2 linked regions of the Drosophila melanogaster genome follow. The protein of the gene in region 1 interacts with the protein of each later gene in a pairwise test. Each region holds a gene or a part of one and is shown in the gene's direction. Other genes may lie near its edges.

What was found.
Region 2: the proteins of CG15262 (region 1) and Rpn13 interact in a two-hybrid assay, tested with the Drosophila melanogaster proteins (2 studies listed by BioGRID).

Annotation. Positions count from the first base shown.
Region 1 is NT_033779.5:15,295,669-15,299,975, forward strand, and holds CG15262 (uncharacterized protein), read left to right. Parts: upstream 1-2,139; 5' UTR 2,140-2,278; coding exon 2,279-3,595; 3' UTR 3,596-3,699; downstream 3,700-4,307.
Region 2 is NT_033778.4:13,957,877-13,962,065, reverse strand, and holds Rpn13 (regulatory particle non-ATPase 13), read left to right. Parts: upstream 1-1,661; 5' UTR 1,662-1,747; exon of another isoform or gene 1,748-1,838; intron 1,839-1,857; exon of another isoform or gene 1,858-1,956; 5' UTR 1,957-1,977; coding exon 1,978-2,498; intron 2,499-2,667; coding exon 2,668-3,421; 3' UTR 3,422-3,521; downstream 3,522-4,189. Other genes in the region: CtsL1 (cathepsin L1), read right to left, coding at 801-872. UniProt on the Drosophila melanogaster protein: May function as a proteasomal ubiquitin receptor. May promote the deubiquitinating activity associated with the 26S proteasome.

The DNA of each region.
Region 1 (4,307 bases):
AAAAAAAAAAAAACTTGACAAAATGAACGCCCACAGAGACGGACTAAGTCGCAAGAGTGATGTACGCCTATTATGAATAATTTTTAAAGACTGGCAAGAACGCCATAAACATATGGCCATTATGCTGTACGCTTTGGCTAATGGCCCGCCTGCCACTAAGCCCACTGAGGTGAGAGGAATATGTACATACATACACATGTTTCGGCTCTTCCCGTGCCGGAGCAGCACTTCCAATGAGCTCGTAAAACTCGCCGGGCTGTGGGACGATTGCTTCCAGAGCTTCTTTCGGTGCTTACTGATGTCTTAGATGCAACTACAAGTGCTGCTGCTCCCGCTGGTCATTAGCCGAGATGGCGGCACGCACCCGATGCGGCTTGGAGTTGGGTCATTTGTGCCGACGAATGGGGCGTCTCTTAAGCCGATGCTAATTTCCATAATGCACGCCTTGATGGCGGCCAACAGGTCCTGATCCCCACTGCGTTTTCCACACTCTGCGAATAAAAAGTGGGGGTTATGGGTCTGGGTTTTATACGCTTTACATATGTAAGCTTACAAGTTCATTTGTAATTCAAGTTCAAGCACCCAAAAAATACTCTCTATATATGCAGTAAGTATTTTTGAATAATGTTTTAGTTTTCAGTGTGCTATCACCTCGAAATGAGTAAATGTCTGGGTAATCTAGGAAACTTAGCTTGCGGAATGGTCACGTGATACGTCAGGTGCGGGAGAAACCTATTCTGAAATACAAAAATGAGTATTTTGCAATCAAATGAAAGCCAAAATCCAATTTAGGATCGCCTCCAGTTGACACCTCCGTGGCCTAGAGACTCCACTTGCCTCGACTGTGGCCCTGGCCATGGCGATTTAATGGCTTCGCAATTGGCCTGACCCATCTGTGGACCAGGCCAAGTGCCAGGTGATCGTGGCCAGTATGACTGCGAATCGTGGAGCGGAGCAGGCGGCTTTTGTCGCTGTCCCCGGCAACATGAGTATGATTTATTGTACTTTATGTGGCCGGAGCAGCTTCTGCCCGCAGTTCGTGATGGCTTCGCTGGCTTCGTTAGTCGCGTTCCTGGGATCTGGATGCATTGCTATATACTCTGTACATGGGTATTTGGAAAGTGTTCTGTGCCAGGAGTACTGTATTTTTGGTTGTGCTTAGCATATTAAGTGGTAACTTATACATGATGACCTAAGGAATATGCAGCATGAAGCAGCAAATCACACGATCTATTTATATAAAATAAGGACTATAAGCTCACATGATATTGCAAGGGTATTACAAAGTACGGTTCTAAAACTTAAACGTATTTTGCTTTTTTGATCTGAAAATTCTGCACTTGGCCGTGCGGCGATTATGTGTATCATTTTTCTTTGCCAGCGGCTGGGATTCTACGTTATTGTATTTTATATTATTTGTGCTTAATTTGGGGAGCACAGGTAAGGAGCAGTGGGAGCCGTGCACCTGATCCCAAGAGTGTTGTGACTCTTGAGGCCGCTGGACAAGTTCGTTGATTCGCGGCAGGCAAATGACCATGTGCTCCTCAACATTTTGTGGGCAGGAGCACTTGGACTATTAGCCAAGATATTTTCCCTCCCCTTTCCTTTTTTTTTTCGTTTTTTTCCTTTTGTCAATTCCCAGGGACTTTTGCTTGGCCAAGGAACGAGATTTATGTTAGTATGGTGTCAGTTTAAGTTAATGGGTTATACTCCCCGCCAGTTTTTTATTTAATATTTTATAGGCGAACGTTTTTTGTGCGTCTCATTCTTATTTTTATGCACAATTTTATTCTTTTTCCTTTGGCTGCTGCGCAGGTGAATTTTTTTTGAATTTATGACCATACCTTTTAAATTGCTTTGTGGCAATTTCCGTGGCACCCACACAATGCGAGAAGTTAATTTATTAGTAAACTCAATGTTTCAGGTTTGTTATGATTTTTGTTTTTTAGCTGAAAAACGACTTAAGTATATATGTATAATCTATATAATCTATCTATATAATCTATATTTTTCCCTGCTTAACGAGTTGCTATTAAAAATCTGACACATTAACTTTTAGTAATTTTCGCGTATGAATATGTATCACAAACACATTCGACTACAAGCTTTATATCGAATATTTTATCGGAAATCAGTGTTAATCAGGACTCTCTCAAATGTCATTTTGGCAAGCTATAGTATTGCAAACCAAAGCGATCTCTGCCACACGTGTTTTTTCCTCGCAACGCTTATAAATTACGAGATAAGCTCTGAGTCTTATAGAAATCCAGAGTAAGATATGAAACGTCATTATTACAATACTGGGGATGACCAGCAGGAGGTGGAGAGCTCTCCAAGTCCGCCGCCTCCTCCGCCTTTCCAATCGCCATTATCATCGCCCGAGTCTTTGCAGACCCCGGATGGATATCCCATTTTGTACGTGGATGTGGTAAAGAATAAGCCCAAACAGGAGTTGCCGCCGTCCGCATCACCGTCCCAACCACTTGCGCCGGAGTTCAGCATCTTTCGCGAAGATTTTCCGGCTCTGCCAGGATCATTACCATCTGCATTACCAACCGCATTACCAACGACATCGAGCCCTGTGGTGCCCGACGACTGGACAGCCATGATGAGCAACAGCGAGCAGGTCGAACTCGCCAAATTTCGAAATACAGTTATCCGTAATTCCAGTGATCCGTGCGTTAACGCTAACGGCAACGAGGTGCTCCGTCAGCCAACCCATGCTCCCGAGAAGCGCCAGAATATGGAGTTGCTGCCCCATATGTACGGTTATCTCGGCAATCCGTTCCGTTTAAATTTGAGCATGATATTTACCAAGCAATTCCTGCTCGAAGGCGTCAGGCAGAGGGCTATAAATGCGGCCCACAAGAGGGCTGCCCTGGCAAAACCAGCAATCCAACCACCACCCGGATTCGAGAATTGCAAAATTTTTGCCCGCTTGATAACCAACAGTGATGGTATGCCACTGGGTGGAGTCACATTTGAGCTGGGCTCACCCACTAATGAAACGACTTCGAATGTGGAGGCGAAACCTTCGGGTTCCACCATTCAGGGAGCCTTTGGGATGTTGGGACTGGCCAAGAAACTGCGATCGATTAATCAGAACCCGCTTCTATTCGGAAATAATGTTGCCCACAATATAGGCGGAGCCGCGGACTCGATCTTTACCGGGCCAATTCAAGAAGCCCGTTTGACTCCTCAGGAGATGAGCTACAAATTGCCATTGAACTATCTCTTCAATGTAAATATGAGCCTACAGGAGCCCAAAATCGAGGAAATGCATGATGAGCTCCTATTTTTCTTCTTCTACACATATGCTGGCGACATGATGCAGATGCTCGCGGCTGCTGAACTGGCGGAACGTGGATGGCGCTATCACAAGTATGAACATTTCTGGGTCATTCGCCAGGCGGACAATCCCAACTACTTATATCACGGATTCCGGGAGTTCGGAGAGTACAATTACTTCAACATGTGGCAGTGGAAGATCCTGCCACGACACTTTTACCTGGATCCCGAGATCCTGGAGCGCACTCTATCCAAGGAAGAGCTGTATGTGACGTACGGATACCATCCCCAGATGTCGGGTATTTAGAAGAAAGTTCTTTTGTCATCAATAGCCAGGGATATACGGGTTTAAAAATTCTCTCTGACGCTGTAGCATCTTTTTTATAAAAACAAATTAAATTTTTTATAAATATTCATAAGCGTTTTATTAATAAATTCAGTGTGGGGAATGTATTTATTTATATTTAGTATATATAGTTGCCTGTTTTCTTAGTTCTATCAATTGGTGTTTTTTGCGAATTTGTAGTGTTCATATTTATTCACTATTTATTTATTATTGTATTAAAAGTTAACCAGCGGATGACCAACCCATGTTTTAGTCACCTTGCAACCACGGACCCACCGCCGAAAAAAATCCAAGCAACCACACCCTCCAAATGCCATCGCAAATCCACAATCCACACAAGACCACTGAGTACCCAGCACCACCACCACCTTCATAGCCAAGCCCCAAAGATACGAGGAAAATCGCAGCGCTCATTAGCAAAATGGAGCAGACGGACAGTTGCACATTTGGAGTCGCAGCTTTCCGCCCAGACACGATCTCTTGGCCAAGTGTCGCCGTCATTTAGCCCGCTAATTGCCACGTAAATTTGCAACCATTTTTGGCAGCTCATTAAATTTATTATTAAAACAAAAGCCGGAGCGAAGCCAAGTTAATTGCCATCAAATTGACATGCGAGCCGCTTGGAGACGGACGACAACACCCGCCTGGAATGGCCGTTTGGGATTTGCTCGCT
Region 2 (4,189 bases), on another chromosome or scaffold:
TGTGAATAAAGTCAGTTTCTTGCACTTGTTCATGATTCATACTATTAAATTGTGGTTAATTAGCATAATTTGTGCTATTAAAGTATTAGTTTTATCTTAGCAACTTTGTCATGAGCCTAAGCAATATTTTAATAAATTTCTAACGATCAAAATCACTGCAAAATATTTAATATTTATTGGGTAAAATATGGAATTTATTGCACCAAATTGCAATTTATTGCAAATTTATAATAAAAAAAAGGTTATTAATATTATTTATTTATTTGAGGCTAACTTAATGTATAAAACTATAAGCAATCTGAGATCTAGCAATAGAAGCTTTGTAAATATATTATTTTAATTCTTTATTAAATTCGTAACAGACATGGTTTTGAAAAACTAGTTTTTAAATATATCATTGTAAGCATAGAAAAGAGTGAAAATGAAAGAATAAATAACGGTTCAAATTTGAGAAATTTGATCCTTTAAAGAAGCTTCTCTCGATTTTAGCGTAAAATATTCTCTTTATAGAGACATAAAAATTATTTCTATAAAACTTGACTGATTTGCGGGGCGTTTGTAAATATATTGACATTTGCTTTGTGATAAACAATATAGTTTAATATTTGTTTTTTTTTATTTTTTCGATGGCGATGCGTTATCTTATCGGCCATTCCACTTTGCCTCGCAGCTTCGTATTGCTTTCAAAGTCTGCCATTTTTGCGCGATTTGCTTCACTTATTGTTTTTCTATCATTGTCTTGCTGTTTTTGCGCCCATTTTGAGAAACGTGAGAGGCATTTGATAAAAGTTGTTATTTACCAATTGTGCCCTCTGCGATTTGTGCCTAGTTCGAGGGCGAAAACGGGTTTCAAAAACGCCAAGGTGATTCATCTGGCTATCAGGTGAGTTAAAAACCACAAAGACTAGAAAAATGGGTCAGCACAAAGGGGAATTGGACAAAATCTAAACAAAGAAGCGCAACAGAATCTAAAGCGCAAAGCAAAAGGGGCAATAAAAACGGGCATAGACGAAGATGCCGACTGTTGATTATTGTGGAGTGCAATTAAAGTGTAAATAAGTCGCCACACAGACATGACGCAATTAGATTCAACAAGTCAATACGAAGCAATTAATCGGCATTAATGCAGGGCAGGTATATTTGCGTTCTCAACTCGAAAATAACTAAAAAGACTACATATATTGCTTACCACTCGGAATTGCGTCGCAAGGAATGCAGTAAATTCACTGATTTATCACTGTTGTTGCACTCTTTTTAATTGGCTGAAACAACACTAATGTGCAAGTCAACCGATTGTATTTAACAAGTCGCTCTTGATGATCCAGTCCCAAAGACCTTTCGTTGTTTAATGAAAACCAGCAGAAATTGTTTAAACAAGAAATCTCCGACAGAGTGACCAGTCCGAATCTTCTGGAAATACCAGAAGTTGCCTGAGCAGACGGCTTATCGATAACAGCGTGGGCAGTGATGCAGTTCTTGTGTGTAAAACGGCCAAATTCAGTCGCTAAATCGAAATAATTGGTCAGCCTAAATATATGCAAGAGCTTTTTAGTTTATGTTTATTTAATAATGAGTGTTAAATAACTAAAAACTATACCTCTCTTGTTACTTTTGCAATCGAAAGATTTCTAAGTCACTCAACGAACTCAATTTAAATTATACAACAAATGTCTAAACTGAATTTTGTTCAACAGTGTTTTGAAATACTAAATGTTAGAATTCACCCGTTGATGGTAACACTGCTGAGGTAAGAAGAAGACAAATTTTGCTCGTCATTGGGAATTGACGATTCACTGAATTTTTGATAAACTCAACAAAGTAAACGCATTATATATCCCGTAAGTAGTGCAGCGACTACTAATAACCCCAAACCGATCACGGCACCATAAAACACTTTCGAGTTATGCGCCAAAGAAAGTCGTAATTACAATACGTTCTTCATCCAATCTTCGCCAGCTCTCAAGAAGCACCCGCATCATGTTTGGAAGACAAAGTGGACTGGGTAGTTCCAGCAACAGCAGCAACCTGGTGGAGTTCCGCGCAGGTCGCATGAACATGGTGGGCAAGATGGTGCATCCGGATCCGCGCAAGGGCCTGGTCTACATGACCCAGAGTGACGATGGCCTGATGCACTTCTGCTGGAAGGATCGCACCTCCGGCAAGGTGGAGGACGATCTCATCGTCTTCCCCGATGACTTCGAGTACAAGCGCGTCGATCAGTGCAAGACGGGCCGTGTCTATGTGCTTAAGTTCAAGTCATCGACACGCCGCATGTTCTTCTGGATGCAGGAGCCCAAGACGGACAAGGACGACGAGCAGTGCCGCCGCATCAACGAGCTGCTGAACAACCCTCCATCCGCCCACCAGCGCGGCGGCGGCGGCAGCAACGACGGCGACCTCCAGTACATGCTCAACAACATGTCGCAGCAGCAGCTGATGCAGCTCTTCGGCGGCGTTGGCCAGATGGGTGGTCTCAGCTCGCTGCTGGGCCAAATGAAGTGAGCATTTAAACCCTTGCAGCCATAGTGTCCAAGAACTAGTCAAGTAGATAGCTTCTTAACTTACAGGGTATCGTTTTTATTGTTTATAAGCATGTAATCGAAGGAATGAAGCCAGAACTTGAGTTCACCCCCTTTTTCAATATTTTCCTTTCTATATTCTCCGCAGCTCCCGGACGCCCTCGTCGCGCAACACCTCCTCATCGGGTGGCGGTGGGGCATCGGCCTTGCAGACGCCCGAAAACGTCAGTGTGCCGCGCACTCCGAGCGCTCCATCGAAATCGGGCAGCAGCCGCAGCAGCAGCAATGTGAACTCGCAGGTCGGCGAAGGTGCCGGCTCCTCCGTTGATGCGGATGCCCCCGGTAAGAACTCAACCACATCGACCACAACGGCGTCAAAATCGACCGGAGCCTATGCCAATCCATTCCAAGCCTACTTATCCAATCTCTCCCCCGAACATGGCGCAGGACGATCCCTGAATATTGACCTATCGACGGCCCTACCCGGCGCCGATGCCATCAATCAGATAATTGCCGATCCGGAGCATGTCAAGACGCTGATCGTGCACCTGCCCGAGTCGGAGGATGTGGACGATGATCGCAAGCAGCAGATCAAGGACAATATCACCTCCCCGCAGTTCCAGCAGGCTCTGGCCCAGTTCTCCAGTGCCCTGCAATCGGCCCAGCTGGGACCTGTGATCAAGCAATTCGAGTTGTCCAACGAAGCAGTGGCCGCCGCCTTCTCTGGCAATCTAGAGGATTTTGTGCGTGCTCTGGAGAAGAGTCTGCCCCCCGGTGCCACCATGGGTGGCAAACCCTCCGCCAGCGAGAAGAAGGCCAGCGATCCCGAAACCCCAACTTCAGTGGCCCGCGATGAGAACACAGATCCCGCTACCGAAAAACAGGAGGAGAAGCAAAAGTAGCTTACGTGTGCGGCTTGGTAGTCATTGATATGGAATCCGAAAGCAAATTTTTTCATGTGCTGAGTGATTTTTGGATGCTAAATAAATTCAAATGGGAGTTAATCGGTAGTTATCTATCTAATTGTGTGTTTGATATACATCAAAACGGCTTATTAATTTATATTTAAAATATTACTACTTTAATAAAAGGATACGCGTTTTGGTAAGTACTCGTCCAGCTCTTTTCAGAATGCATCATTATACTCATTATACTTGGGTTTTTGGCTTACCTAATTTAATTTAAAAAAACAAAGTCTAACGTGTACAATTTATTTTAAATTTTGAAGTTAATAATGGGGGGATATATGGAAGTAACGGTAATATTAATCCCGACAAGGTCATTTTGTTGGTGTCCCCCTAACAAAAGCTCGCTGCCCCGCTCTCTCATCGCAACACACTGGTCGTCCCTTTCTGGCGCGAATTGCGCGCTCTCTCAGCGAGAGCCGTCTCACACAGATATATACACACACAGGCACACGCAACAATATTTATTTTATTCAATTCCAAAACGGCCAGCAAATAAGTTGTGTTTGTGCAAAACTCGCGCGTTCGCAATTTTCCGAAGCTGACTCTCAATTCTCATACATAACGATCTCAAGCGATCTCCGCCAGGCGAATCAAACCCGGATATATCCAGATCTGCAGTAATTGCCATATTTTTTCGCCAATTTTTGCGTTGCGGGCTGGATGTTTTTGTATCTGTTGTTGTTGGTGCTTTCATTTTGCAGC